2 linked regions of the Xenopus tropicalis genome follow. The protein of the gene in region 1 purifies or fractionates together with the protein of each later gene. This does not show direct contact. Links are inferred from orthologs where the notes say so. Each region holds a gene or a part of one and is shown on either strand. Other genes may lie near its edges. The genes, in order: mrps27 and noa1.

The links.
Region 2: the proteins of mrps27 (region 1) and noa1 purify together in Homo sapiens (co-immunoprecipitation; 3 studies listed by BioGRID and IntAct, counting the BioPlex papers as one, with this or other methods). This does not show direct contact. The link is inferred for Xenopus tropicalis from reciprocal best matches to the Homo sapiens genes MRPS27 and NOA1.

What each region holds. Positions count from the first base shown.
Region 1 is NC_030677.2:182,820,596-182,836,123, forward strand, and holds the end of mrps27 (28S ribosomal protein S27, mitochondrial), read right to left. Parts: intron 12,125-15,528; coding exon 11,978-12,124; intron 10,085-11,977; coding exon 9,839-10,084; 3' UTR 9,127-9,838; downstream 1-9,126. Other genes in the region: map1b (microtubule-associated protein 1B), read left to right, coding at 1-155, 1,768-1,923. UniProt on the Homo sapiens protein: RNA-binding component of the mitochondrial small ribosomal subunit (mt-SSU) that plays a role in mitochondrial protein synthesis. Stimulates mitochondrial mRNA translation of subunit components of the mitochondrial electron transport chain.
Region 2 is NC_030677.2:91,930,820-91,947,675, reverse strand, and holds the end of noa1 (nitric oxide-associated protein 1), read left to right. Parts: intron 1-2,656; coding exon 2,657-2,773; intron 2,774-7,204; coding exon 7,205-7,322; intron 7,323-8,936; coding exon 8,937-9,127; 3' UTR 9,128-9,222; downstream 9,223-16,856. UniProt on the Homo sapiens protein: Involved in regulation of mitochondrial protein translation and respiration. Plays a role in mitochondria-mediated cell death. May act as a scaffolding protein or stabilizer of respiratory chain supercomplexes. Binds GTP.

The sequences.
Region 1 (15,528 bases):
ACAGCAACAACAAAAATGTAGATGTGGAGTTTTTCAAAAGAGTTCGATCTTCCTATTATGTGGTGAGCGGCAACGATCCCGCGGCTGGAGAACCAAGCAGGGCAGTCCTGGATTCTCTACTCGAAGGCAAAGCCCAGTGGGGAAACAATATGCAGGTAATGTGTTGCAGACAAGCACAAGTACTGCATGTAATTGCATGTATACGAAGGAGCCTGCAGACAGATATCTATATGTTACAATACTGGGTGGGGGTATTTACAGTATAGCTATAGTGGCTGCTTAATTATAATGACATATGGCGGCAGTTGCACAATGACCAGAGGCCAATAGACAAAAATAAGAAGTAACTCGAAAATTCCGTACAAATACAAGTTTATTCAAACTTGTACTGGAGGGTATGAAATGCGTAAGGAGGAATACCATGGGGTCTGTATGTATATTTTTTTAATATGGAGCTTTAATTAAACTTTCATTTTTATGGATTTTGTGAGTTATGGGATACTCCTTAATTTTTGTTTGTTGATATGCCCTTTTGATCTGGGGGCAGTATCCTGTTAACGTTGGTTATATATACATGTGTGCATGTATATCTTTATTTATAAAGCGCTACTTATGTACGCAGCGCTGTACAGTAGAATACACTAATACAAACAGGGGGTTAATAAGATAATAATAGATAAATACGAAGTTTTACAATAAACACAAATAAATACAAGGTACAGTTGCAATAAAAGAGACAAGAGGATGGAGGTCCCTGCCCCGTAGAGCTTACAATCTATATGGGAGGGGTAACTTACAGACACAAATAGGCAAATATAAGTGCTCTAGGTCACAGTGGGTGACATTACAGTATAAGTGCCAGTTCCCAGATCAGGTGCTGGGTGAGTGCTCCAAAAAGTAGTCTTTAAGTTTAGTCTAAAAAAGACTGAGGGAGGATTCTCTCTGGAGGAAACCAGGGAGGGCATTCCAAATGCAAGGGGAATATAAGTATATGTTTGTATATCCCCTGAAGCAAATAATTGAGAGGCCAATAGACCCTAGGTATAATTTGCAATTGTTACCAACTATTCCTTTCTATTCTGTACCTCCTCTGTGGTTCTTTTAGTGTCATGCCCTTTAGTTATACAGACAAGATTGGCTGGTGATAGGTATTCACTTAACAGGTATTCACTAACCCTACTGCATGAAACTTCTTTATTTATAAACAGGGTTCCCAGAAGGAATAATGGGGGTGTAGGTGCCTGCATGGCTATGGCCCTAATGCACCCAAACCCAAATGCCTTGGTGAGGCAGTTTGGGTCCCTCACTTTGACTGCAGAAGGACTAGCAAAGCTTGGTGACACTGTACCAAGGTAAACCAAAGGATCAGATATGTAACTAGGTGGAGATAAGTTGGGTATAAGCTGCCATTTATTCTCCATGCAAGGCTAACTTGCCTTCTCCAATTTAAACCTATCCTAGCCCAACAACTTGGCATGACCATATTGCTTGCTGGATCTTAAAGATGACATTCAAGTAATGTAAGCCAGTTGCAATGCAGATATAGCACCTTGTCCTACTGGTTGACTTCTTAAAACCAAGCATATCTACTGAAATGTTTACTTAATTAGCTTAAGAATTACGTCTTTTCATCCTTTTGGATCTTAAGCTATTGGAGGTTAGGGGTTTCAGTTCACATTAACTTGAGTTTATTAGGCTGAAGGCCCCTGCTATAGACCATATTTCACTTTATAAACAAGTCATCTTTTTTTCCTGTTGTTGATTTAGGTCACATTAATCCCTACTCATGATTCTGAAGTAATGAGGGAATGGTATCAGGAGACCCATGAAAAACAGCAAGACCTCAACATTATGGTTTTGGCAAGCAGCAGCACGGTTGTTATGCAAGATGAATCTTTCCCCGCATGCAAGATTGAACTGTGAATAGGCCACCAGACTCTTCATCGCATTATACAACTGATTTCCACAAACTTCACCTAGAGATTACAAATGTCTTATTAATCTGCAGAACTATATTTATGCCCAGCGCTATCCATGCTGACACGGATGACTGTAATATCTCCACTCATCTCTATGGCAAATTGCAATGCTTCCTACACAGGGTTCAAATCACTGCAAGGTCACTTATCCAGGTATAAAATACAGGTCTGTAAAAATGCTCTTGCACATTATATTTTCTTTAAAGCCCAGAATAAGAGCTTCCTTCAGGACAGAAAGTAAATGAGAAAGAAGAGAAGGCTTAAGCACAGGACTTGGTGTCAGCACTAATACAAGTAAATGTTATTTCTCTTTTGATGATGATGCCCCTATGAATTGTTTATGCTGCAGTTTGATGGGTGACATCATGGCAGCGTTTTGGTTTCTCATGCATGACAGCCTTTGTTCAAAAAGCCTTTTTGTCACCAAATCTATGTAAAGATCTAACATCACTGTTCCAGGCTGGGTGTGCATCATGCAGTCTACAGAACACACCAAACCTGGTTTGATAAGGAACCCCACTTCTATCTGGATCAGAAACTGCAATACTAGCGTTAGGCATGCAGTTGTAAACAACCAATCCCTGAAGACAAAAATACAAATCCTGATGCATACGGACTTGTCACTTTACTCATTCAACCAGTTCCAAAATAACCCCTTTCTTTCCGCACTGTCGATTTTGCAGTGCATACACAGGAGCGAAATACCAAAGCATTCAGAAGTACATGCGTTGAACAATTTGCCTTAGAAAGTGACTTGAATGTATAAAGATAACTCGATGCACTTATTTTTAAATGTTTTGACGGCAAGTGTACAAGACAACTGCAGTGTGGGAGATTTTAGCTGGGAAAGTGTGTGCGTGCAAGGAAGGGTTTATCTAATGGGGAACACCATGATGGGAGGTTGTGCCAAGGCTTCGGGAACTTTAATGAGCGGCAATGATTTTTATTGGTCGTGCTTTACTCTTCCTCTTACGCGTGATTCATTGGTTTTACAAAATGTAGGAACAAATGTACAGTTCTTTTTAAAATCGATGTAGGTAGTTTTATGTAAGTTTTCAGGTTTCAAGCAAATACTATTTTTTACATTTTTTTTTTGTTTTAGCCACTCTGTGATGTGTTGATGAATGTCTCTTGCTGAACACGATATTGGCTATAAAGGAATATGAAAGCAAGTTTTTAAGAGCTTGTAGTGAAGTAAATACTAACAATTAGAACACTGGCCAGAATGATTTCATGTTAAATGAATTAAGTGAATCTATGGTTGTACTTTTTATGGAAACCAACCAGGCCCATAACACAGGGACAGAGCAGAAGAGCTTTCTGGTGGTGATCCAGATATAGACTGGGCCCTTAAACCTCTTGTTAAGCCACTGTAATGCAAGCACTGCAGGGTACCAGGAGGGACTGCAGGGCAAAACAGATCATTGATAATCTGGCTGAGGAATAAAACTTTCTGGGCATGTGTAACAGTAAAATTACCATCAATTTAAAGAGCATGGGGTTTAGAACATGACCTATATTTGTGTATTTTTTTTAATTGATGCATTATACTTATTTCTGGAGTTTACACTATTTGAAATATTTTTTTTTTGCACTGAATGTCAATGAATTTTGGTACTATTTTTTTGGACTTGTTCGGTCCATTTAATGCTGTGAATGATGACACTTTAATAATTTATGTGATCCACGTAAATCATTTTGTTTATAAGCAATGATATTTATTGCTTTGGTATTTATATGAAGTTGCAAGCATTATTTTGGGTCAATTGCCACATGTCCCCCCAGGGACTCACTAAGGCTGTTTGGTGTACTTTTTATTAGATCCGTGTCCCCATTTTGGGCTGCAGAAGAACGATTCTGTGCCTTGTTATGTCCGTGCCAGTCCAAAACTTGGATATATCACATGCATAGTGCACTGTGGGCGTGGCTAAAAGTAAACGCATGCATAATGCTCACCGGATCTCTGCATGTGCTCTGCCAAGTTTAGCTGATATTTTACTTTCATTCTTATGTTGTATTTCATTTGAACATTTGTTTTTATTGTACTTGTATATGTGGCATCTATTCATAAACACTAATCCCTCTACTACTCTTCCAATAGCATTGTGGGTATATAATGATGCTGCCGATATATCCGGAGCGCTTGTTTTATCCTCCCCTGCCAACTATGAATTGTGTTTTGTTTACAAATTTCTTTTGGTTTAAATCATTGCAGGAAACATTAAAGGGGGGATATTCTATGATAAAGACTTAAATAGCCTGTAAAGGGCATATTTTCTTGTGTGCACCATTCCTTCTCTGCATGTCTGTACTTTTACACATACAGAAGCTGCCATATTGCTTACATGTCTTATCCATTCTCAATAGACAGGGCTGCTAGCATTGTTCCTATTGGGAATGAGGTTTAAAGGGCAACCTGTATGGTAGAGTTTACAGAGAGGGGATATTTGTTGCTCACACTAAATTAAACACTTGCATGTTAAGGAAAACAATGCAAAATAAGTCATTTTTTGTTGCCTTGAGTAATTAAATAAAAGAGTTTTGCCAATTTATTTTACCATAAAACAATATGATGAAGGAGGACAATTTTACTGAAATTGTTAGCACCATGGATTGAACCTGACAAAGGCAACCATTGCCTCAAGTGTTGGCAAGCTACCAGCCCCAAGATGTTGGGGTGCTGGAAGTTGAAAGTCAACATCAACTGGAGGCCTATGGGGTGTCCACCCCTGTATTAGGCCCTGACAACAAAAAGTACTCTATATAGAATTACTGGGACATTACATTGGGAAATTAGAAGTGATAGCCTTAGCTCTGACTGGTACATCTAGGGCCATGAAGGCTTATGGAATAAAGCATGCTCCAGTCTGATAACCCATAGCAACCAATCAGGTGTTAGCTTCCATAACAGCAGGCCAGTAAGTGCTACCTTCTGATTCATTGCTATGGTGTACTAGAACTGATGGAAACTTTAAGCAAAATAATCTTATAACACAGTGTATGGCATTACCATTTCTTGGGGGGAATGAGCATGATTAGGATAGTATTTCACTTGTTATTTAGTGATCTACATGGCAACGCAACTTGAGCAAGAACAGATCAATAATTATTTTTTTTTTACAAAATGTGCCAACTCAACAAATTTGGTACAGGCGTAAATATATAAAACATTGACTGGGGACCAGTGATAGATCAAATATTAGAACACTCCTGATGTTATGATTCTTTCACTCCCATTTATTTCGGATTTTCTAAAAATATTGACAGTACTGGTAGCGGGTTGGGCATAGATTCCAAATAAAAGCATAGAACTGTGCCCATGGGGGAATATAGCAGTACTGCAGAACTCCTTTATGGATGATACCTGAATTGTAACCCTAGCAGGTCTTCTGAGGTCTCTACATACGGGCGACATCCCCTCATCTTCACAAGCTACTGCAATTATGAGAGGAGTTGGAGACAATCAACAGCTGGAGAACCACAGGCTGTCTATCCGTATATAAGAGATAATGTACCCCCTATTGTAAAGTATAAGGATACAGAAAATGGAACTTGAAAATTCCATGACCATATGAAAGGATGAAGAAGCAGGTCATGGATCTTTAATATTCTCATATATTACAATAGGTGCTACATTATTTTATATAACAGATACATTAAATGTGACACAAATAACATCACTTAGCACTGTTTGTAAAATTATATTTTACAGGTTATTGAAGGCTCTTGTGTATTATACAACATTAAAGTAAAGCAGATTCATACAATGTATTCTAAATACACATAGTCCTAGAGGTTCAGTACATTGGGTACAGGTTGAGCCTAGAACACAAATATAGGCCTCGCAATATTGTCATTGACATTCCAGATTGACTAATTTGATTTCCTTCAGCAGAAAAGATCTAGAATTAAAAAGCTTTCTGTACTGTAGATGTGCTGAGCTTAGGAATAGGAGAAACGAGCAATGTTGCTGAACTACAGTTCCCAACACCACTAAGCTGCCTAGTGATGATGGGACTTGTATTTAATCAATAACTTGAGGGCCATAAATTGGAAATCTGTGCTGAATAGGTTTAAATTTATAATAAATAGACATATAAAAGAAATAATGTTGGCCAATAAACACGGTCATATTCACATCTTAGCACTTGAAAGGCTGTGTTTTCTTCTATTCGAAATACCATCGGCTGCCTTAGGTACATGCCAAATATTACACACATCCGGATCTGTTGAGAAAGCAAAAGGATCAGCCCTTGGAGGAGAAAAATGAATCACGGACTTTCATCTTTTTTTAATCTTACCAGCCAAGTAAAATAATAGAAAAGAAAAAAACAGAATAAACTCATTTCACAGACTCTATGACACATTGATTTCATGGTCTTTGGTCTCTGCAATCTGGATATGACTTTGGACAGAAGGAAATGACAAAACAAAGGAAGGGAAAAGGAATTCCTAAAGCTTCTCTGCACTAATATAGCTTCAGGCTCACAGGAAACGCTACAGAGCCACAAGTAACATTCACTTGAGACTGGGCTGTGTTACTCAAGGAACCAATAGCAGCTAAGAACTATTGCTTTAACACTTATGCATGCAGCCGTCTGCCTTCCACTCGTGGGAGAGACCCAGTCTGGGGCTGGCGGGGAAGCTTCTCACATTCCTCTCTCGTTCTGAATGGTGTTAGTGTCAGTCTGCAGCTGTGTATGGTATTATGTCTTATAATCTCGCATCACCTCTACTCTATCAATTCATATCTAATGTAGACCATTAGTTTCCAGTGAAGTAAATATGTAGTGCTTTTATGATATTTGTGTGCAATACCCCACTTCCACTGAGGATATTTGATGTAAAAGAAACAAACTCAATTCCACAATAAAAGAGAAACAAATGTAGAAATATTTCTGTGTTGTGATATCATTGTGTGCATTTCTTAAAAACAGCAGAATGAATTCATATGCAGGGGGATAAAGGGGTCATTCACCTTTCTATTACCTTTTAGTATGAAGCACACAGTAATATTCTGAGAATTTGCATTATACAGGTACAGGTATGGGACCCGTTATCCAGAATGCTGAAGACCTTGGGTTTTCCAGATGAGATCTTTTTGTAATTTGGATCTCCTTACTAAACAATCATTTAAACATTAACTTAACCTAATAGGATTGTCTTGCCTCCAATAAGGATATTATATATAATAATTAAAATGGAGTTTGGAGATGGTCTTCCCATAATTCAGAGCTTTCTGGATAACAGATCCCATACCTGTATGGGGTCTATTATCTGAAATGCCAGGGAGCTGGGGGGTTTCCAGATAAAGGATCTTCCTGCAATTTCAACACAGGGTACAAAATGTGAACAACTGTATCAGCACCTATGCCAAGTAAATGATTTCCTATGCCTTTTGCAATCTTTTAATTGGGACGCTGATACAGTTTCTCTTTAGTAGTCTCTGCGGGGGTTTCTAGAGGGTATTCTAGCATGTGGTATGCCTCCTTTCTGTCATTTTATACCCATAGCCACAGATTTTTGCATCACAGGTCAGTATATGAACTAGGCTTGGTGGTGATCTATAGCTAACATTTCTAGTTACCCAGTGAGTAGGTCCACAGGAAAAGGGGATTGGGGCAACCTCTCCCTTTGAGGAGGAGTCAGATTTTAATGGACAGTTAGGACAAATACATTGGTGTATGCTGTACTTGCCTAAATAATGTATTAGAGCTAATTAGGGCTCATTTATAAACACTGGACAAATTTGCACCTGGGCTGTAATCCCATAGCAACCAATCAGTGATTAGCTTTTTTTCAGCCAGCTGCCAGTAGCAAACCTCTGGTTGGTTGCCATAGGATACTGCCCACATGCAAATTTACCTAGCCTTTATAAATGACCCCTAGAACAAAGCTGAAAGTAGAGAAAGAGATTGCAGAGAATGGAAGAGTGGAGGGTAAGTAGATTTCAGAAACAGTACAAAAGGTTTGATTATATTTAGAAAGATTCTTATCTCCATTAGATGAAGCCTATATTATTTTTCCATCAAAGTTCTCCTTTCAACATATTACAGTTTAATCACTTTCAGCCTTTTCTCATACACTTTAATTGAACATCTGAAGGTTTTAAGGTAAAGACACACTGGGCTACCAGTAGCAGCTACTTTTTACATCTACTAAACACCAGAAAATCCCCTGCCATAGACAATACTGACAATCGCCTCTCCTAAAACACACGTAGAGACAATTATCAGCAAATTATCAGCTTTGTCTATTTCAGTAGCCCTGACAAGTAGCTGCTACTAGTAGCCCTGTGTGTTGTCAACAATGGGAACATTTGCATAATTGCGGTAACCCAACAGATCTAATCAGAACAGAGCTAATCAGTTATTTGTTGCTGTGGATTACTGCCCAGGTGCATTTTTTTTTTTTGATTGTCACAGAATTCTGCTTGCTTGGCAACATCACCAAACGAATGATTATAGAAAGATAGCGGGGGAACCTTTTTCCCCATAAAAAAAAGACCAACCCACCCCTTTAGATGAGAGGAACAGAAGTTTCATTTAAAGCCGTGTAGGTGGTTCTTCACATTGAGGGCAGTGAGGTTGGGGAATGCCCTGCTGGGTGGTGTTGTGATGGCAGATTCTGTTATTGCCTTTCAGAGGGGCCTGGATGAGTTCTTGGACATGCATAATTCTCAAGGCTATTGTGATAATAAAATCTACAATTAGTATAGGTATTGGTATGTATAGATGATATATGCGAGTGTATAGATAGGTTGGTATGAGTGTATGCATATATGTCTGCATTGGGTTCATTAGAAGGGGTAGAACTTGATGGACTTCCATTTCATCTGTTCCATTCACACAAATTAGAAGAGGCTTTCAGCAGGAACAGGAATTTTATTTATGTTGGATCTCTCAGTGAGCTATGGCTATGTAAATACTTGTATGCAATGATCCTGGAAACATCCTGCACTTATACACACACAATAAAGCAATAACAGCTCAGGCGGGAACGGCCATATTGCTCACTAGTGGGAAGGGGTTAATGGAAAGTACAAGTAATTTCTAACCACTTGCCTAATTTTAGATCTATTCATTTTAACATTTGTATGTGCAGTAGTGATTTGAAGTTTATTTAGCCAACATTAAATGAAACAATCTATGTTGTAAATGCTTTAATCCTTTAAAAAAAACGAAGAAAAAAACGGAATTACAATCCATTAGCATTTCAGACAGCACAGATCATTTCCCAGTGGGGACAAGTCATTAATCTCATATAAAACACCAATTTTGTCTTGTAGACCTAGATATTTCAGCTGAATGATCAAATCATACAAAATGTATAAAGATGAAAATGAAAAAAATAATGAAAATACAAATAAATTAGCAGCCAGAGGAAGATATTAAAGGGAAACTACAGATGAATGTATTTAGGCAAGGCACTGCCTCATATTGAACATGAAGGAAACATGTAATATATTTGTACACTATATTATCATGTATTCTCCCTTAAACAGACAGCAAATTATGGGTTTATAGAGTAGATTATTCTGGGTACAGAACACTTCTCTGCATGTTAGCATTTACACTACTGAATGGGAGGTACCATACTGTCTTCCTTGGCTGAGGAATTCTCTATAGACAACCTGCAAATAACCTGTGCAAAGTATCAGATATATACAGAGCCACAGTATCAGCAGTGCTACATGCTGCAATTAGCCAAACACCACCTAACAAGGGCAGCTTGACAAATGTTATGCTCTAAATCTGACAACATTTAATAAGGGTACATTTGTGACCAGACATCTTCTTAGGGCTATTTAAGAAGGATTTTCTCTACATCTCAAAGGAGAACCCAGTTCCCATATAGTATCATACAGCAGTAGCCGAAGTAGCAGCTTGCCTGGCCTCAAATTCTTCTTTTGCCTTTTCTCTCATCTCTTTCTCCCTGGCAGTCAGCTGCACTCGCTCCTCTTGCCATTCTCTGAGTTGCTTTTCATATCTTTCAACATCACTCTTCTCACAGTCTGGAAGAATCTCTTGGACAAGTTTTGTGGTCAGGTTCTGAAGGCCATCAGTTGCAATTTTACTCAGAGAGTCCAGCTTTGCACTCAGCTCCTAATAGAGAGACAAGAAGAAATAAAATGGGCAGAATGTTTTACATTAGTAATAGGCCAAACAATACTACTGTGTACACATGAACATTGCGTACTTCCTTTCATCTGCATTGTGACTTACTGTATCATTAAAGAGATACTGATACCAGAAATCAAACCTTTTTTTACATCTATCATAACATATAATTTTGCAATTTATAAGTATTTGCCCTGTGCTTTTTCATTACCTATCCCCATGTTCCTCTATGAGGGGGCTGCCATATTTGTGCAGCAGTAGGCCATTAGAAGCTATAACTGACAGATTGAGAAAGGACAGTCAGGTTTAGGAACGTCAAGTAACAATTACTTACAAAAGCAGAGCTAATAGTAAAAAAACTATCACCATGCCCTACAGGTAACTTTTAATGTATATCAAGAGTAGTTTTTTAGAGTCAATATCACTAAGAATTCACCTGTCCCTTTTACATCATATGGCCTGTTGTGTAAATAGAACTTCAGATAATAGAGACTTATTTCCTGATGTTGCTGGCCCTTTAATAAGCACTATTTCTTACAGTCAGGTGACTAGAAAACAGGCTACCCTGGGGAGTATGAGAGCCACAATGGGGATACAGATTTAGGCTGAACTGAATGCCCAGAAATGGTACATAAACAAGAACAGCCGCAGATGCCTTTGTGAGCTATTTTTCTGCTCATTACAAACACAGGCGCCAGCTTCTAGATCAACATAAAATATTCAGGGAAACAATCAAAGCAAGCAATAAACCAAACTAACTGACTACACGGACCACCCTACCAGTACCTATATAGGGCAGGTGTGGCATTTATATACAGGGAATTTCAGATTTTTTTTTTTTTTAAATGGAATCCCAACTGTTATTTTTCTGCTGAAAAATGAAACAATGAAGCAAGTAATAAAGCAGTCTCCATTCAGCTAGTCAAGATTCCGAGCACAGAGAATCCAATTAGACTCTACTTTTTACTATTATTAATATTTTATTAGACCTTTTCTATCCTATATATATATATCCTTTTCTAGATAAATGGAAAGAAGTCCTGTTCACAAATAAAGGCATTTATGGGGCAGCAAACATGGATGCTGTCTATGTTTTCAAATATAATAGGGCCCCACAGAGCAGCAGCTGCAGGTAGGAAATATGGTAAGGAAAGACAGCAACAATAAGCATTTTTATCAGTAAACTTCAGTTATTCTAAACCCCAAAAAATGAATTGATGTCAACTTCACTTCTGCAGTTTGCATCCATTTTTTATTTTAGATATTAGCAGTTTTAGACTAATAAAAAGCTTTCAGAGCAACAGTCTTTATGAATATTAGATTGCCATAGACCCAAACTATCTATGGACTTCCTGTATAATCAAGGTGACAGAAAGGTGTTGAGCTTAATGTCTGGTATTGACAATCTAAAATTTGTATTCTAATACTACATTCTACAAATAAAACCACTAAAAATAGAAAACTAATACAAACTGCAAAAGTCCTCACAGAATCATTTTGAGTAATTTACATACATTTTTGTATGGGTTTCAATCCCCTTTAAATACAACTCCCAGCTCCTGAAGAGTGGGAGTACTGTTCTAGTACTGCTTACTGTAAGTAAGATATAGACAACTTGGGCTTGGAAACATGGAGGAAAAAAATGAATTGTTGCCTTGTGTTAAAACACAAAAAGCAAGAGAAAAATGGAATTGCTCACAGTAGCCCTCAATCATCATCATTTATCTATTAAGCACCAGCAAATCTTATTATTTAACAAACAAGGGTTACAGATGAGCCCACAACAGCTTACAATCAAACATGCTAGGAACAGCTGACACAACTACTTTGCCCTGGGAGGTAAAACAGAAACCAATCATTTGTATGTTGCAATCTCACCTGGAATCTATGCAGGTATTCTGGCAGGACGTCTGCCTCTGTCTTCTCTGGATCCTCTGGCTCCATAGGCTCCTCTCCTGATGCTTTAGACTTTTTCTCCAAATGTTGGGCAATTGCAAAGTCTAAGGATTCTTTAAGAATGTCAATCTAAAAAATGAAATAATCTTTATTTCATCCATGAAATATACACATTTGGGATACAATCATTACAAGCGGCTGAACATGCAGATAAGCAATGATAGTTGCTCTCAGAGCTTCCCTACAGTGGCAGCTAAGCCAGGGGTAGCAATAAGCCCTTGACAAAATTATTGAGCCAATCAGTTTGCAGTCACTGGGGCTTATAAAGGGGCTAGTAGATATAACTTACAGAAGACATACATTATGTCAAAATAGTAGGAATGTCCAAACTACACCCTTGTGAAGTCACTGAATCTGAATCTCCCAGTGGTCCAGCTTTTCAAGAGACAGTCCTGAATTATGGACTCCAAAGGCTATGGGACTTGGAATTTGGGCTGAATTTGAGTAAACCTAGGGGTGTTATGGAAACAAATCAAATGTTGGCATATATGAACTTCTGTTGGGTGATGCTTTAAGTTGTTCTTTTCTACCTCCAGATGGGGACTCTATAATTCCTGCATTACTAGACCCCCACCCTCTTTTTCTAACTCCAGCTGTGTAAGCTGTCAAAAAGATCTCTTCACATTTGTGTTAGGGCAGAGCAAATCGGAAACTTTTGTGGGGTGTAGTGCAGGGTGCAAAGTGCAAAAAAATGGGTGGAAACCATCATGGTTTTTTAACTTTGTGCTGAAATGTTTGAAAATATGACCACAGACCCAGAGCGAGGAAAATAATGATATCCCTGCAGATCAGTAATGCTGTGAACAAGACTATTTAACTCCCATCACATCTCTACAGATATAAATTTGATTTCTCCATACTGAAGCTAAATCAAGCAGCAGGACATCCATAACACTAAAACACTAAAAATGGGTTAATGCTGTTATTTTGAATACAGAGAGTTTGAATCTATACAGTTATATAATGCAATTAGAGCAGTAGCTTCAGTACCAAAAATGTTATAGACAAATCTATAAAGTTAATGCACTTCCCTTCCACTGCCATTAACCTAAAGAGTGATAGCAAAGGTCGACCAAAGCGAGATAAAAATACAACAGTCTTTTCTCTTTTATGGCACAAGGTGCAGTGCAATGTGACAAATCTAAAGAGGTTTTGTGCGCTCGTGGGTAAAAGAGATGAAATAAACGGGTAGGGAAGTGGCTATGCCCGAATAAAGCACCTGATTTTTTCCACTTTACTAAACTAGAGACTCCTGGCAGCCGAACACACATGGTTTGGCCATAAATATGAAGTCTTGCAGGCAGGTTCTACTACAACAACCCGGATATCAGTCATTCATTCTGTACTTGCTCAAAAAGGGGAGCTATCACTATTATTAAAACAAAAAGTGCACTTAAGTGCAGTGAATGCGTAATAGCCTTTATTTAATCATTTATTTTAGATATAAATGGTTTATTATTGTGCCTTAACCTAAACTGTGTTATGCTACAAGCCAGAAAAAATGGTTAGGCTGCACAACTCAAAAACAAATCATTAAATAACAATTTTAACAAAAAAAAAAAGGAGAAAAAAAGGAAAAAAAAATAATAAAAACACACTACAGGTCTAGTAACCCTGAACAACCAATAACAACCAAACCGGTTACACTTTCTGACTGCAAGTAATCATGGTTTACTTTTAGGGTTGCCAAGAAAACCACATCCAGTTCACATGGCAATTCTAAATCTCTTCTTCGGGTTTTAGAGATAAAACGATTACCTATTCTTCCTAATCCACTTGCACTTATGTCTCTGTCCCACCTATACCCAAAATATTTACTTCGCTAATCACCACACCCACCAAACCAATCAGATGTTTACATAAGTGTCTGTCCAGGTTTCACAGTTTTGAATTACAGACAAAAAACAGAGTTTACATTTATAGAAATTACTATTTATATAGTGCCAACACATTTATGCAGTGCTGTACAGTGATTAAACATCATTCACAGTCTCAGGCCCAGAAGAGCTTACAATCTAAGGTCCTTATCGCATTTATTCATACTAACTTAACGATTTACCTACCTCTTTACCTGCCTGTTTGTTTTTGGAGTGTGGGTGGAATCTGGAGTATCTGGAGGAAACCCAGACAGACATGAGGAGAACATACAAACTCCTTGCAGATATCGCCCTGAACTCAGACCCCAGCGCTGCAAGGTAGAAGTGCTACTCAATAAGTTCTGCACTGCTATTGGGCCTCCCTGACCTGGCAAACTCCCTCACAAAACTGCCCTGCCCTTTAAGATTATTGCAATGCCCATCAATGTAACAACGGTAAAGTCAATGACATGTCCTTGTTTTTCTTGTCTCCTTTAAACATTGTCTGGGTTTACATACACAGAAAGTTAACAACCATAGAAGCTGCTTTAGGTTACCAGACCTGAGTACATCGCTGTCAGGTTTAAGACAATAATGTAATTAGAGGGTTTCACAAGCAACACCTATGTTATTTCTACAGCCCACTAATAAATATATTATATATATATATATATATATATATATATATATATATATATATAGTGCACTTGATAAAGGGTATTGACCCTAAACATGTTGTGTTACCACTACCCATAATAAATGTGTGTATATATATATATATATATATATATATATATATATATATATATAATACGCAGCTGAATCACCAGTGAGCACCTTAAAGTGGACCTGTCACCCAGACATAAAAAGCTGTATAATAAAAGCCCTTTTCGAATTAAACATGAAACCCAAATTCATTTTTTTATTACCACATCCATATCCATTATAAAGGCAATTAAAAATCCCAGCTGTCAATCATATATTGCCTGTCCCGCCTCTATGCCTTAGGCATAGAGGTGGGGCAGAGAGTTACTTTCACTTTCAATTCAGAACTTCTTAGATGTTGCTTCCCTCCTCACATTCCCCCTCCCTCCTCACCATGTCATTTTGTAACCATTGCATGGACATGGGCATCAGGACCCCCCATACTGGCACAGAAACAAGATATTGGCAGGATGCAATGCCTGCTTTGATAACAGTGCCCACAAAATGGCTCCTGCCTGCTTGCTGCAATTGTGAATTCCAAGGCTGAAGAAAATAAGATTAAAATAATTTATATAGTGTAAGTAAAGTTTATTTTTCTTGACAAACACAATAGAAAACAATTTGGAATAATTTCTTAAGGTGACAGGTCCCCTTTAATCTTCAGTGTCACCAAATTCATCCTGCAAGCTTTAGCTATAGTTTGCTTTATGGCGAAGCCTGTTTAGGGGGTCTGGTGCACAGGCAAATTAAAACATTATCCTATTGATTTTAAAGGATGAGCAATTAAATGTGAACCGAAGAAAACAGCAGATCCCTAATATTTATGCTGGTCCTTCCTTCTAACTCTGTAAATGAGCTATGTAAAGATGTGCAAGTGCCAGTTTGGTTAATAAATGCTCATGTGATTTTCTC
Region 2 (16,856 bases), about 91 Mb from region 1:
ATCTGGTTAAGTTTCTTAAAGAAGGTTTTAGGGATAAAGATTGGGGCATTGTGCAGTATGTATAAAAATTTGGGAAGGTATATCATTTTTACTATATTTATGCGGCCCCAGAGTGTAAGTGGTAACTTGGACCATTGGGTCAGTCGGGCTTTGAAATCTGACAGCAAGGGGTCTAGGTTAAGTGGTATATAGTTAGTAGGATCTGTAGTTATCCAGACTCCTAAGTATTTAAATTGATTGGTCCATTTTAAAGGTATATTGGGTATTACTGGTTGTGGTTGAAGAGGATCTATAGGGCAAAGGATTGATTTATCCCAGTTGATTCGCAGACTGGAGTAGTGTCCAAATTTGTCCACTTGCTGCAGTAGAGAGCTCTGGGATCTGCAAGGTATATTAGCAAATCATCTGCATATAGCGATAATTTTTCGTGGATATTACCATATGTAAGGCCTCTAATCTCCGGTGAGTTCCTAATCAGTATGGCTAGAGGCTCTATTGCTAGAGCAAATAATATTGGTGAGAGCGGACAGCCTTGGCGAGTCCCCCTTTCCAGTGAGAATGGGGGAGATGTAATCCCATTTACTCTGACTCTTGCTGTGGGATGCTGGTATAGTAACTTGATCCACTTTAAGAATGTTTGGCCAAAGCCGAAGCCGGACAAGACCTCCCATAGGTATCCCCATTCAATTGAATCAAAGGCTTTGGCTGAGTCTAGGGAGGCAACAACTCTGGTATCGGTCTCTAAGTGAGGGATTTGTAGATTGGTAAAGAGCCTTCTTAAATTAATATCAGTGGATCTCCCGGGCATAAAGCCTGATTGATCCGGGTGGACCAGGTCGGGAACCACCCTTTGGAGCCTTGTCGCCAGAATTTTGGCCAAAATTTTGGTGTCTGTGTTAATTAGGGAGATGGGGCGGTATGAGGAACAGAGGGATGGATCTTTGCCCGGCTTCGGAATGACCACTATTAACGCCTCCGCAAAGGATGCAGGTAGGGCTTGATTGTCATAGGCATATTGTAGAGTTTCTAGCAGTTTAGAGGGGATGTATTCAGCTAGTACCTTATACCAGTTGGAAGGTAATCCATCCGGGCCTGGTGTCTTATTTGAGGGGTGGGTGGCAATTGCCTCGGCAACCTCTTGCTTTGTGATCGGGGCATCTAAATATGCCTTATCTGGTGGGGCTATTTGTGGAATGGGTATGCTTGCTAGGTACTGTGCTAGTTGTGTCGCAGAGTAGGTGGTTGTGTATAAGTTCTTGTAGTAGGAGGCAAACTGCTGTGCAATGTTCTTGGATTCTGTGGTAAGCGTGCCGTCATCTTGGCGAATGTGGGGGATCGCTGTAGAGTTGTTTTGGGGTTTGGAGAGGTAGGCTAGTATCTTGCTATTCTTGTCCCCCTGCTCAAAAACGCGCTGATTCTGGTATAGCACTGTCAACCATAGGCAATAGGTCGGCTGAGGCAAATGCCAGATCAATTCTAGATAGGGACCTGTGAGTAAGTGAGTGACAGGAGTAGATTCTCGCTGTGGGGTTTTTCCATCTCCAAAGGTGAAGAGCGTCTGCCCATCCCGCAAGTCTAGTAGATGTATTGGGTTCTGGTTTGGATCTATCTAGGGAGGTATTCATGCAATTATTAAAGTCTCCCATGATGATAAATGGACTTATGGGGAACTCTGCCAGTTTAGAGACAATTTGATTTAAAACGGACATAGCAAACGGCGGCGGCAAATATATATTAATAATTGTTAGGGGTTTGTGAGCTAGGAGACCATGAAGAATCATGAATCTACCATAGTAATCTGTATGTAGCTTGATTAATTCGAATGGCACCCCTTTGCGTATTAGCACTGAGACTCCTCTGGAGTAGGAGGAGTAGGTAGAGTGATAGTGCCATCCCACCCAGGGTTTTTTAAGTGCTAGAATTTTTTGGCCCGTAAGGTTGGTCTCCTGGAGTAGGAGGATAGAGGGAGGGTATCTCTTTAGGTAGGTAAACATAAGGCTCCTTTTTAAATTTTGAATTAAGGCCTCTTATATTCCAAGAGGTCACTGAAATTTTAGCCATATTGCATTGGGTTTAGATTGGTGCCGCTGTGAGCGATGTCCGTCATTATTTTGTGTTTGCAAAGGAGTATCTTATAGACTTGTAAGACCTGAATAGTGATAATATAGACAGATAAAAAACATAACATTCCCAACCAAAATTCCCTATCCCACCCTACCCACCTTCCCAACTTAGGCGGGTCTTGTACCCAAAACTGTAGTATGCTATTCCCACTGTATTTAACCTTTACTTTTATAATATTGTTATTAATGCCATTGAATCTTTTTTCATTTAAAATAATAAGGGCTTTCCATACAGTTACCTGTAGTCCAGTGGTGCTCATGGCAGCTTTTTGCCACTCTGTGACACTCCATAATTTAAGATGGGTTCTCTTAGGTGATGCATTCATTTTAAATGTTTAGAAATAGTATTCACAAATAAATGTCAGAGAATTCATAGCAAATGTCTCTCTAAAATTATCCAAATCACCATGCCCATTGCATCATTCAAACTTGGTTATTTTAAGTACAAAGATTATTTATTTTTTTCAATGTCCATTATTTACTAAAGCATCTGATTTAAAATAATCACGCCAATGTGAATTTTCTGTTTTCAGGGTGAAAGGCCAGCATGGTTTTCTGTTATTGCTTCCAACTTGCTTCCGGTTCACATAACCAGCCTTGACAAAGCAGATGACATATACACAAAGCATGCTGGTGGAACATTACTTGGTGTAAGGCTGTTCCTATGTATATTTTGTAACTTTATTATTGTAGACAGTAAAGAAAATGTCATCAGTATATCAGTGTATCCAGTCTTTCATTCATACCCCAGCAATTGTTAACTTCTAAGAATTCTAAATCAGAGAGCTGCTATACAAAAAGCTTAATAATTCAAAAATCACACACAAAAATACAAAATAAAGATCAGTGGGGAAAAAAAAGTCATGATACTAATATTTTATTTAATGGTGAACTACCTCTTTGAGAGACAATATACCAGAAGAATTTTGTATGGAAGTCGTTTCTTGGAAGGGCATATACACACTTGCCACAGACTGCCACAGATAGTAATGGCATAATAGTAGATATAGTAATTAGATACTAATGGTATTTTATTATCTCTGCAGCAAGAGAACAGACAACCACAGAGTGTATGTTTTATGATTTTATGGTTAATAGCTGTTCTGGGTATGAGAGCAAAAGGGGTGGATTTTATTTCTGTAATTTTACCCATTTTATATATTTCAGTTACACATCACTGTTGTGCCTGTATTACATTTATTGTACAGAGGCTAGTGGAGCTGGGATTGTTTTGACTGTGTTAATTGAATTCTGCATTGTTCTTGTATACTTGTTAGTCCACATAAGCTCCAAGTTAAACCACATACAAGGTATTTGGGATAACTCGGAGGTAAAGAAGTTAATAGGATAAAAAAGAACGGCATTTAAGAAATGCAAGTCAGGGGAAAAAAGCAGCATTTAATGAATATAAACACACAGCAATCCGAAAGGCAAAGATAGAATTTTTGGGGTTAGTTTTAGCCTCTGCCGCAATGCACTCCTCATTTTCCAAGTGTACATTAATAGTAAAAAACTGGCTACAGGATCAGGTGGTTGTTAATGGTACAATTCTCTACTTGGAGTAAGGTTTTCAGTGGGGTTCCCCAGGGTTCTGTACTAGGTCCACTTTCGTTTAACTTCAGTTCATTAATGTCTTAGGGGAGGGTATTATAAGTAATGTATCAGTGTTTGCAGATGACACAAAACTCTGCAGCCCAATCAGATCCATCCAGGATGTGGCATCCTTACTCTAGGATCTTGACAAATTTGCAATCTTGGCGGCTATGTGGCAGATGAGATTTAATGTGGATAAAAGGTCATGCACCTGGGATGTAAAAATATGCAAGCCACTTATAACCTTAATGGGACTGCACTTGGCAAATCCATAATGGAGAAGGACCTTAGAGTTCTTGTAGATAATAAACTTGGATGTAGCAAGCAATGCCAGGCAGCAGCTGCAAAGGCAAACCAATGTTTTGAGCTGTATTAAAAGGGGCATCGATTCGCAGAAGGAGGGGTTGCAGAGCGCTGCTAAGACCCCATCTAGAGCATTAGAGAGGGTCTAGAGAAGGGCATCTAAGGGTATGGAAAGTCTTAGTTATGAAGAAAGACTGGCCAAGTTAGGGTTGTTGGAGAAGAGGCGCTTAAGGGGTGATATAATAACTATGTATAAATATATAAGGGGATCATATAATAATATCTCTAATGCTTTATTTACCAGTAGGTTCTTCCAACTAACAAGGGCACCCATTTTGATTAGAAGAATGGAGGTTCCGTCAAAATATTTGGAAAGGATTTTTTTTTTACTGTGAGAGCTGTGAAGTTGTGGAATTCTCTCCCTGAATCAGTTGTACAATTGTATAAGCTGACACACAGATAGCTTCAAGAAGGGGTTGGATGGCTTTTTAGCAAGTGAGGAAATACAGGGGTATGGGTGATAGCGCTTAGTACAAGTTGATCCAGGGACTGGTCCGATTGCCATCTTGGAGTCAGGAAGAAATTTTTTCCCCCTCTGCGGCAAAAATTAGAGAGGTTTCGGATGGGTTTTTTTTTTTTTGCCTTCCTCTGGACCAACTAGCAGTTAGGCATGTCATATATAGGCATTAAGGTTGAAGTTTATGGAGGTATGTCTTTTTTCAACCTAACTTACTTTGTTGTTTTTGTCCATAAAAAATTTTGTATGAATTTTTTATTTCATTCCTTCTGTCAACAAAATTTACCAATTTACCAATTATTGTTACTTTGTTACATATTGTTGCTCTTGAACATTGAAAACATTGTTTCCCCCTCTAAGGGGTTTAATTGTGCATTTATGGAAATTCACGATGAATGGCTTAAAACCTTTACTTAAAAGTAAGATGAACTTTTGTTTCTCTATGTTGAAATACTGCAGAATTTCACATTTCAGTTCCCCGCAGTGTGAGACATTTTGTAAACATTCTGTGATCTATTATTTTAGGGGCATTTACTGGGAGGGGGGGGGGTTAGTTTAGGTAGGAAAGCTATATATTGTGTTTTTTCAGGAGAACCTGAGCTTTCTAAATCTGGTTTTTGTGTATTTCCACTTCTGGAACAAGATTTAGAGCTCTAAATACAAAAAAAAGAAAAATTTATATTTTTTTTATATATAGGTATTTATGGACACATTCTTTTGATTTGCAAAGCCTTATGTCTCCCAAACATGCCAGTACCTGATATGTATAGTTTTATGGAGATTTCTGACTTCTATAGATCAAAAACTCCCAGCAAGTAAGTAGTAGAATAGAGTCTAAAACAACTGGACTTTTGTGAGTTTATCTTGATAAGTTTCACCACTCATCCAAGTGGCTTCTTCAGTTCAGTTCAAATGACTGGTAGGGAATTCCCTGGCATTTAAACCCTTGAGGGGTTTCTACTAGATATTGTATATCATGAACTGGATGAATGAGAATCTTCATAGACATAGTAAATTACTATAGACCGTAAATTACCACATTTTCAAAGCATTACAGCAGAATACGGTGTACTTTAGATTCCAATAAGTCAAAAATCCTGGAACATTAAGTTTACCCCAGGAAACCATATATTTTTGAAAAACACACATTTTGCTTTTCTGAATTTAGCAGTTTCTATAAAAAATTATGAAAATTCTAAAAAATCACCTCAAAGCTTTCACTTTCAAGCATTATATCTCCCACATAACATTAGGTACCAAGAAAATATAACGTAAATATGAAAGCCAAGGGTCTACTGAAGAGTTTGATCCCCATTGTACGTAAGATCACTAAAGTATCTGGCATTTACGGACCCCAAAAGGAAGTTAGGGCATACATATTTCATGGAATATAAATCAGGCTGTGTACTTTTTGGTAGTAAAAATGGTAGAATTGGTAGACCCCAGAAAATACATATTCTGTTGAATGTAAAATGGGTAAATATGTCTTTGTATGGCAAAGCACCAAACAGCATAGCTATGCTAAATGTAGCAATTTTTATGTCATTTCTGAAAATTGTTTCAAAGCTTGCATTTTACCCTATTCTATATCCTACATTTCGTACCATATCGGCATAAAACATTTTAAATATTAATGCCACGCGACTAATAAACAGTTTGATGCCCAATATGCATAGATTTACCAAACTATGTGGCATGTACAGTAGAGATGCACTGAATCCACTCTTTCAGATCAGTCTGAACCCTTCGTAAAGATTTGGCCGAATATCGAACCGAATTATGTTCTGTGCATGTTGTGTGCGTCCGTGTGCAAGTAAGTGTGAGTGCTGTGAATGTGGGAAACCAACCCCCCCCCCCCCAAACACAAATGTGTGTGTGTAATAAGTGTGTATATATGTGACACTAACCTGGGAACAAGCAGGCTGAAAATCTGGAGAAGGAGGCAGAAGGGGACCCAGGAACCAGAGGAGGCCATTTTCTGTCTGATCCAGTGACTGGTGAGGGGGAGCAGAAAGTGCAGGCAACAGCAGGCATGTAGTTTGCACGTGCCTACTGTTGCCTAGGGGCCCCTGGGCGGCCGTGCTCCAGGGGCCACTCATTCCCCACCTCTGCTCAATGCCTAGGGGCTGTGGAGCTAAGGAGCGGCTTTAAAAGCCGCTCCTCCGCCCCAAACCCAGGAGTGCTACAGATTGTAGAATCTACGACCTGTGGCACTTGGGTACTTTTATCCATAGAACGTAGATTCTACGTTTTGCGGCACTTAAAGGGTTGAAAAAAGAAAAGAAAAAAACAAAATAAAAAGTGGCTATGCTAAAACAATCCTGAACTCTTTGGCTACAACAAGGGAAAATAGTATGATATCCATTAACACAGTTAATGTTTCCTTTTCAGATTAATGAAAGGGCCATTGTATAACATTCTGCAACTTTTGTGTGTTAATGATGTCATGGTATTTAAAAGCATTGTGTAAATAGCTATAGCTGTGTAAATTATGAAATTGGCGGGTAGATGAGATGCTTTGCACAGAATAACCCATGCCTTTTTCTTTACTGAATATTTTCTAGAAAAATCAAGTATATGTAAAAAACTGAGTGTGGATTTTCATCTGGCAATGCTATCCATAAATTAATAACATTTCTTGACTTTAACCTTACTTTTCTTTTACTAGGTTCCAATTGGAGGAGAGGAGAGAATGAAAGAGTTTCCCCCCCTTCTTCCACAAGATATTAAACTAAAAGGAATTGGTGCCTCTAGAGCTGTTGCTGATATCAAGCTTTCTACTGCAGGTTATTGACTTAGATTCTTGAAAATTTGCTATTTTTATAAATGAGCCTGCATATTTATAGGTCCTAACAAAGCATCTCTCCCCACTGACTTGAATTTTTAAATCCTTTCTTTTTCATTCTTATTAACTTAATGATTTAATATCCCGTCCCAGTCTGCCAGTTAAAGTAATGGTTTTAATAGTGCTAAATTTGCTTTCCTATAATTTAAAATCTTCTTTAAAGACTAGTGTATATTTGCTTTTTGGTACAAACATGAAATGAGACAATAGTCACTATTGCCATGTGTTCCAGTACTTGAACATTTGTAATGTATTCTGCTTTGTTAAAGATCCAATATAGCATAAATTCTGCTTGGGTCTTCCAAAGTCTATGAAATTAACTGTGCTAGCAGTATTATTGCTCCAACTTTTATCTATATGATATGACATGATTAAAATCCCCCATTAAAAAGACTTGCCCCGGCCTTCTAATCTTTCTTTTTGCATCAAAAGCTGAGCCTCTTCCTCTGAACTTAAATGTAGGGGTTTCAGCTGTGATTCTTCTCCACAACTTCTTTCTTTATACAGCTTCTCCCTTTTAAAATGTCCCCTATCCTTAAGAAACAAGAAATATACATATATTATTTCTCAGTTGTGTGAATAATTCTGTCTTGCTTTAATAATGCAGATCATAAATTTTAATTCAACTGCAGCTCTTTTACCTTTTTACCATCCAAACAGAATAAACATATGTATCTGTATAAAAATTTTTTTTAATTTTGTATATGCAACATATAGTTCTTCCTGCCATATATGATCTACTTAACATGTTTACCATATTTTTTTCCTGCTATGCCCAGAACCACTTTCAAAGAGTTTCTTACTTCTCCTTAACACCAATGACTGGTTAAAAATCTCCTTCAACCTTTTAGCCATCCTCTCCCCCAAAACAGCTGCTCCATCACCATCGATGTGAAGTTCATCCATGGCAAGAGCAGTTCTGGGATAAGTACCAGAGGCCCTACACCCCCTACATTCCCTACACTTTGTCCTTTGAGGGTGTGTCCTAAAGAAATATTTTGCACAGCACATTTTCTGTTAACACAAGTTTCACATTTGCCTGATGCATATCAAAACTGTCCTGTGCTACGTTTTGCAATGTGAAATTGATTATTACAAGTGATCTGATAGATATATGGTACTGGCTACTGGTACTGGATTAGGTAGTCTGTAGCTGCTGTAAAAGCATACACTGGTCTCTAGAGCCCAGCACAATACACTGATCATCTTCAGATAGAATGCATCCTATGTAATAGGCCTTCTGATCAGGGGTGTTGTTGCCAGGAGTCGAAATAAAGATTTTCAAGTGCTATTGCACTCTCGGCACTGTGTAACTGATTGTTACAGGAGCTGTTTTATTAAAACAGGCTTTTAAATAATTTCTTCTAGAAAACAGCATATTTTTAAAAATAATTATTTAAAATTTAATTGAAAGGACTTAGGGCTTCTGAGACTGAAAATGTCAGTCTTACTGCCTATAATGCTATTATCACTTGCTTATACATGCTGTGTTTATTTTTTCAAGGGTATGAAATATTCAAAATACATGATCACGTGATCTCCTTTTCTTTTTTAGGCTGGATTGCGGTTACAGCTCACTCAGGAGAACAACTTCATTTGAGGTGCTTTACCCCAAAAGGAACATCATTAACAATTCGTCAGCCTCCACTTTTGCCGCTAGTTGTTAACATTAAAGGAGAGAGGCTTAGAAAGGGGCCAGCCTACGCAACTAAAAAGCCTCCCTGTCTTGTCCAAAATTTGAAATAGGCTTAGATTTAGACCATGAACTGAGACTATAGGGTTATGACAAAGAAGGAGGTTTATCACTATGGTGTTTAAGTAAAGTTGTCCATATATTTAAATTGCCGCTGTATCTGTAGATTGATTTAGATTTTAAAGGAATCACATATCATCACTTTTATAGCCTGCTGTATATTGCTGGATATCCAATATTTAGAAACATTGCTGGATATTCAAACTGCTTTCTTTATGTCATTGGGGGTTACACGTTGTTTCGGAGGGACAGGGGCAATAGAAAAGGAGGAGGAGTGTGTCTGTTTGTTAAGCAAGAATTAAAAGCAAATATTAAGGAGGAAGTGATTGGGGTAACAGAGGGAGCTGAATCCTTATGGGTTGAGCTTCTCACAGATAGAAAAGAATCTACCAAATTAATGGTAGGGGTATGCTATAGACCCCCTAATGTAAGCGAAGAGAAGGAGGCTCAGCTCCTGTTGCAAATAGAAAAGGCTGTTAGTTTGGGGCAAGTGATAAGAATGGGGGATTTTAATTATCCTGATATTGATTGGAGCAATAGTACTGCCAGGACAGTAAATGGGAACAAGTTTAGATACTTCTTGCATGACAACTTTATGTCACAGGTTGTTGAGGAGCCAACCAGGAACCATACTATATAGGATCTAGTGATCTCTAATGACCCAGAACGTTTAACAAATGTGCAAGTGGTTGAACCCCTGGGTAATAGTGACCATAATGTTATTTCATTTGATGTTTGGTGCAGGAAACAAATTTACACTGGGGCAACAAAGACACTGAATTTTAGAAAAGCAAATTTTAGCTCCTTAAGGGCAGCACTTCAGAGCATAGATTGGGGCATTATGTTTTCTGATAAAAACACAGAGCAGAAATGGTTGTCATTTAAAATTATATTAAATCATTATACTGATCCTCAATTTTTCCATTAATAAGAAAAAGTAGAAGTGTTAAAAATTACCCTATGTAGCATTGGGGACAGTAGCTGTGTTTAAAGGACATGTCAACCCCCCCAACCAAAAATTTTTAGCAGTGAAAAGCCTCACAGCATTCTTTATATACCTGCCACTCGGGTCCCTCAAAAGCAAACAGTGAAGTTGCAGCCGATCGCTTGATGTTTCTCTCACTGTAGAGCTCAGTGACTCCCTCTCCCCCCTCCCTTCAGAATCTCCTTGTCTGCCTGGCTTGGTGCACATGCGCACTATCAATCCATTTTAATGAGCCTGCATGTTCGGCAGGGCAACCTATCTGTTGTTTTTAATAAAGCTTGTTAAAAAAAAAAATAATCCAGGCAGGAGGGGCTATGTGCACATGCGCATTTGGAACATATACCGAGCTCTCGATGACGTCACCCGGCAAAATGCCCGCCGGGTGACAGGTGAAACGGCAAGAAAAAGAATGCAGCGATACAGGCTGCAGGAAGAGCTTGAGGGAGTGAAAGTTATGCGTTTGAGGTGGGGGTAAGGTGCCCTTGGCATTAGACCTGACATTAAAGTGAAAGTTGACATCTCCTTTAATGAATATAAAACCTATAACAAGTGTTGTAAAACAGCAATCCGGAAGGCTAAGATAGAAAATGAGGAGCGCATTGCAGCAGAGGCCAAGACTAACACCAAAAGGTTTTTTAAGTATATTAATAGTAAAAAGATGTAGGTTGAGGGATAGGCCCCATTGATTTATAGTAACAATATGGTTACAGTGGATACAGAAAAGGCAGATGTGCCAATTCTTTTCTTCTGTGTATACAGTAGAGGAGCCAGAGTGCCAAGTCCCACCCAATAGCTGCACTGTTGCCTCAGCTCCAACTACGCAGTGGTTGACACAGGATATGGTGCTTAAAGGGTTACACAAGATAAATGTAAACAAGGCACCGGGGCCAGATGGAATACACCCTCGGGTACTGAGAGAGCTAGGGAAAGAATTACAGTGGCCTCTGTTTCTGATATTCTCAGACTCTCTTTCATCAGGTATGGTACCTAGGGTTTTGAAGAAGGCGAATGTCATTCCTATATTTAAAAAGGGAGTAAGATCTCAGCCTGGCAATTATAGGCCTGTAAGTTTGACATCCATGGTGGGCAAGTTATTTGAAGGCTTGTTAAGGAATCACATACAAAATTATGTATTGGAGAATGGCATTATGAAGGACAGGTCATGTCAGACCAATTTAATTGCTTTTTATGATGAGATGGGTAAGTAGCTGGACAGTGAGGATGCAGTAGATATAATCGATTTGGATTTAGCCAAAGCATTTGATACTGTTCCCCACAAGCGACTACTTTCTAAACTAAGGTCTGTTGGTCTTAGTGAAGTCGTTTGCACATGGATAGAAAACTGGCTACAGGATTGGGTACAGAGGGTGGTTGTTAATGGTACATTCTCTACTTGGAGTAAGGTTCTCAGTGGGGTACCTCAGGGTTCTGTACTGGGTCCACTTTTGTTTAACTTGTTCATAAATGACTTAGGGGAGGGTATTATAAGCAATGTATCTGTGTTTGCAGATTACACAAAACTCTGCAGACCAGTCAATTCTATCCACTAGGCAAATCCATAATGGAGAAGGACCTTGGAGTCCTTGTAGATAATAAACTTGGCTGTAGCAAGCAATGCCAGGCAGCAGCTGCTGCACGGGCAAACAAGGTTTGGAGGTATTAAAAGGGGTATAGATTCACAGGGGAAGGATGTTATTCTTCCCCTTTACAGAGCGCTGGTAAGGCCCCATCTAGAATATGCTGTTCAGTTTTGGTCTCCAGTGCTCAAACGGGACATTATTGAATTAGAGAGGGTCCAGAGAAGGGCAACTAAGCTGGTAAAGGGTATGGAAAGTCTCAGTTATGAAGAAAGACTGGCCAAGTAGGTTCTGTTTACACTGGAGAAGAGGCGCTTAAGAGGTGACATGATAACTACAGTGTATGTATTACTTTTTAAAAAACTCGAAGCACTTGAATTCCACTATCTAACTATAAAGGGCTATTAGTGATCAACTCCCTATGAGTGTTTGAACCCTTTCCCTGCCATCACGTAGATTTCTATATTGTCATTAAAGGAAAAGTAACACTAAAAATTTTTAAGTAAAAAAATCTATTCTACCCTGCCCCAATAATTGCCCTATCCTGCAAACCACTTAGTATTTTGAATGCTTTATTAGAAAATACCTAATTAAACTGGGCTTCCGGTCATTTGAAGTAAGGCAATAACGCCAAAGGAAGGAGCAGCATCCACTATGCGACGGTCGATTGATTGATCAAGCCTAGCCTTCCTTCTGTATAGGAAGGAGTCAGGCTAGGCTCAATCGATTGTTACAGTGGATGCTGCTCCTACCTTTAATGGTGTCGACATCCTGCTGGCTGCCAGGCTGTTCCCAGACCTGCATGCAAGGAACAGAGCATATGACAGGAAAATTATTAATTGTACAGAACATTTTAAGGCTATATTGATCCCTTGATCTTAACATTTAATGAAGGGCCCAAATAACACAACTATACCCAAGGAAACTATACCCCTGAACATTGTGGGTCTCACTAAAAATATATCCCATATAACAGCCCATGTTTGAACTCTGCTTCATCTAACTATTTTTATGTTTTAGCAAATACTTAGTCACACATAATAGACAAACATAACTGCTTGACTACTATCACATGCTTTTTCTGAATAATGAACACATTGGACGGTATAAGGCCTTTAAAGCTGCATGGGAGGCTGGCTATCGTAGATTAACTGTGCTGGCAGACAGATATTAGTTCAGGTATCACTGGGCAGAAAAACCTACCAGCTGTTGAGTTACTGGCTAGCTGTTTCATGTCCTCCTTTGGGCATCTGTGGCTCTGCAGCAGTATACGTAGGAGCGCAGGTCCCCAGAATGCTTGACAGATTCTCCTCTGTTGCTTTAAACAAGGGGTGGCCCTTCTGTGCAGCTTACTGACACAATGTTAAATTAATATAAAATTAAATTAAAAAATGATTAATTGCCAATGTTGCAGTCATTTTAAACAGTTGAAGTTTTTCCTTCAGCTCTAGGCCTGTGCAAAGGGGGGCAGAGATTAGGGTAGGGAAGTGACCATCTGTATATGTATGTATGTATGTGTAACTTTATTTAAGTGCCACAAGGGTAGGCAGCGCTGTACAATGTTACAAAATTACACACAAGGAGGACAAGTTTTATAACAAATACAATAAATAAGTTGAAATACACAGGGAATAAGAGCCATGTGGTATGAGACACAGTAGGAAGGAAGTCCCTGCCCCGTGGAGCTTACAATCTAAGTGATTGGGTAACATACAGGCACAAATTGGAAGGTAAGGACTAGGCAAAATAATGTTTTGGTGCTCCGGAAGGTAGCATCTGCATTTTATCTTAAAGAGAGTGGGTGAGTGTTCCCTACGGAGGGATTCAGGGATAGAGTTCCAGAGGTCTCTATCTGCTAGGAAGTGTAACAAAAATAGGTCTAATCCTTTACCTGTTCAATTGTAAGCTTAAATTTACAAGTTATGAGACATTGTTTTATGACCATTTACAGACAGTTGGTTAAGGTTCTCTGAATAAGGTCACTGCAGGAGTGTGCATGCATATTAAAAAAAAAAAAAGCCTGACAACCTCCTTCAGAGGAATGCAACTCGGAAGGACTGTCAGGGAGGGCTTTGCCAGGAGGGAGGCACATGCTAGGAGTCAATACTGATGATGTCTTGTCGCCGACAATGCACATTTGGATACTGGCTGTACAGGACTGAAAACAGTGTGGTTGAGGAGGTAGTTTAAGCTATTTAAAAAAACAAACCTTCATTCTTTTTTATTTTACACTTTGCCACCTAGAAATCAAAAGACAGAGAACACTATTACTGGTGACAGTTCTCCTTTAATAAAACACATTGTTTGCCTAGGAGCAGTAACCCATAGCAATCAATCAGCAGGAAGCAGTTACTGGCTACCTGTTTAAAAGCAAACATTTTATTGGTTGCTATGGGTTTTTGCTCCTGAGTAAATTAAGTCCTTTTTTAGTGCATATGGGGTCTTCTGTTTTAAGAAAGAGATATCCATGTTGCCCGGATTAAAATAAATAAATAAATAAATAAATAATAGGACCATAAAAGATGACCAAACATAAACCTGGAAAAGTTTGCCTAGTTGCTATGGTAAATAAGACTATTGTAACCAAATAGCTTCTGTTGGTAAATAAAATAACGAAAAAAAAACAGAAAAGGCAAATTGAAAAATTGTCAAAAGGCAGATTTCGGATACATGGGCAGATTTCGGCTGCCATTTCGGGGTCCATTAGACCAATTTGGCAGCTTACCTGCACATGTATTGGCACCCCTCCATTAGGCAGGTTTGATTTTCCTGTCGTATTGGGGACCGCATCAGCTTGTTGATTCGGTTTGAAGTCAGCCGTTTGCCCTAGGGCCAAATTAGCCTGATATTGCCTACCTTAGGTGGGCATATTAGGAGAAGATCAGCTCCTTTGGTGACCTTGCCAAACGAGTGGATTGTAACGTGTGGCCAGGTTGAAAGGTTGAAAAAAGACACGTCCATCAAGCTCAACCTTAAAGGAGATGTAAACCCTGCTGCACAGCACTGCTCAACAAAACTATACTCAGTTGTTGCTGGACTACAAATCCCAGAATAATTTAACATATAATGAAGGTAGAGGCATGCTTGGGAGCTATAGTCCAGCAACACTAGGGTTGTATTCTTAAAAACTGTCCCTATCGCAAACCCCAACCTAGAAGAGCAGCGCACCAACGTACCTGGGCTCCATCTTCCATTCAATCGTAGAAGCTTTGGGTCTCACCGCCGATGCGGATACTGCTTGAGCATGCGCAGTTGGGGCTATCAGGAAATCAGCTTCAACTGCTCTTTTGGGTTGGGGTTTGCAGCAGGGACAGTCTTTTAAGTTACAGAGTATGAGATAAGGGAGAGGTGAGGGGGGTCGATGCAGGCCATTTTTATAGCTTGGGGGGTGGGGGTGTAGTTCAGTTTCTCAGCACTGAACAAGTCTGTCCTGTATCCCCATGTCTGATTCCCGTGTCATATAATGAAGGGAAAAATGACATAATTATCTCTATATGTAAGATACGGGCTAAGCAGTACGGGTTAGCCCGTACTGGATACTGTTCTTCTGACTGCCCCTCAGCATGTTTCTCAACTCTGTCCCCAGGCTCCACAGGGGGAGCTAGCTCCTGGAGTTCCTCCTCTCTGCTACCCATCTCCCATAAAGCAGGTGCCCCTGAACCTTCAGGTAAGGCAGGGCTACTCCTCCATAGTGGATACAGGTTCCACATCTCCATTTGACCCTGACCCTCTGGGTAACTTGCTCGCATTGGTGGCCCCACTTGCACCTCAGTTGGTAATGCCCATCAAATAATCGGGGGTCCCACAGGCGATGAAGTTTGAGCCTTCTCGGACTCCATTCCCTGTGTCAACAGCCTTGTCCTGCTCTCCGGTACAGGGTAGAAAACACATCATTTGAGTTGGTCTCGGTGTACCCGCTTATACTTCCCCTGATCCCACTCTGGCTCCACCAGATAGATTCTGATGTGGTTGAGCAATCACTACATCCGGATCAGGTTACCATTTTGGCCACAGCTTAGAACCTCGCTGTGCCTTTGGGTTCCGCATCAACACACGATCCCCCTTCTTTAATGGTGCTGGGTCCACTCGTGGTACCTCTTTGTGGGCCTCCTGCAACCGCTTAGCAAACACCCGTATCCACTGCTCTGGGCTGCGTCCCACAGGGGCCTCAGGTGCTGGTGGCAACCAAGCCTGCCTGCCTACCAAACAGCAAGAAGAAGGGGGTAAACCCTGTGGTGGCATGCACTGTGTTGTAGGTCCATACCACACTGAGCAAAACTTCTCGCTACCTCTCATGATACTCCTCTCCCAAAGTTTTCAACAGGTTCAGCAATGTTTGATTGAAACGCTCACATATCCCGTTACCTTGGGGGTGGTAGGGGGTAGTGCGGGACTTTCGCAGAGTTCAGTAATTAGCTGAGACTCAAAATTCGGGCCTTGATCTGACAAAACCTGCTGAGGACAACCATATGGTCTTATTACATGAGTCCACATCAACTTAGCTGTGGTCTGGGCTGTTTGGTCCTTGGTAGGTACCACCACTACAAACTTAATTCAACTCAAACTTAACTCAATTAACAGGAGGGCTTCCCGATACCCTCCCAAGGCCCCAGCTACCATCATTGGGATGATACTCTAATAATCATCCTGGAAAGCAGTTAGCACATGGTTACAACTTAATATTTTAGCACTCAGGAACACAATACAATCACTTGTACAGCACATTAATTGCATAAATATATAAGGGCACTGTTAGTAAGCAGTAAGGTTGCCACCTTCTGATTCTCGGAAACCTGGGTGTGGTTATGATGTCATGGGGCGGAACATGTGATGTCAGGGGTGGGGTTATGACATGGAGATGGTTGATTCTCTACTTTGGAAAACCAGGCAAGGAGTTTTGACCTGGAGAGCCCTCCTGAAAACCAGGCTGTCTGGGCCAAACTAGGCAGGTGGCAACCCGAGTAAGCAGATACATTTGCAGCTAGAAAGACAATCTGCAGCTCTCTGCCCTCAGAGCCTCCATGTTACATTAATATTTCAGTGTAACTCACTATGAAACAGAGCCTACACACAGTTTTCCTACTTGCACCCAGATTACCACCTGCATCTGTCTTTCTCTAGAATTCTGTGCAGTCTCCTGTGTGAGACTGCACAGAAAGT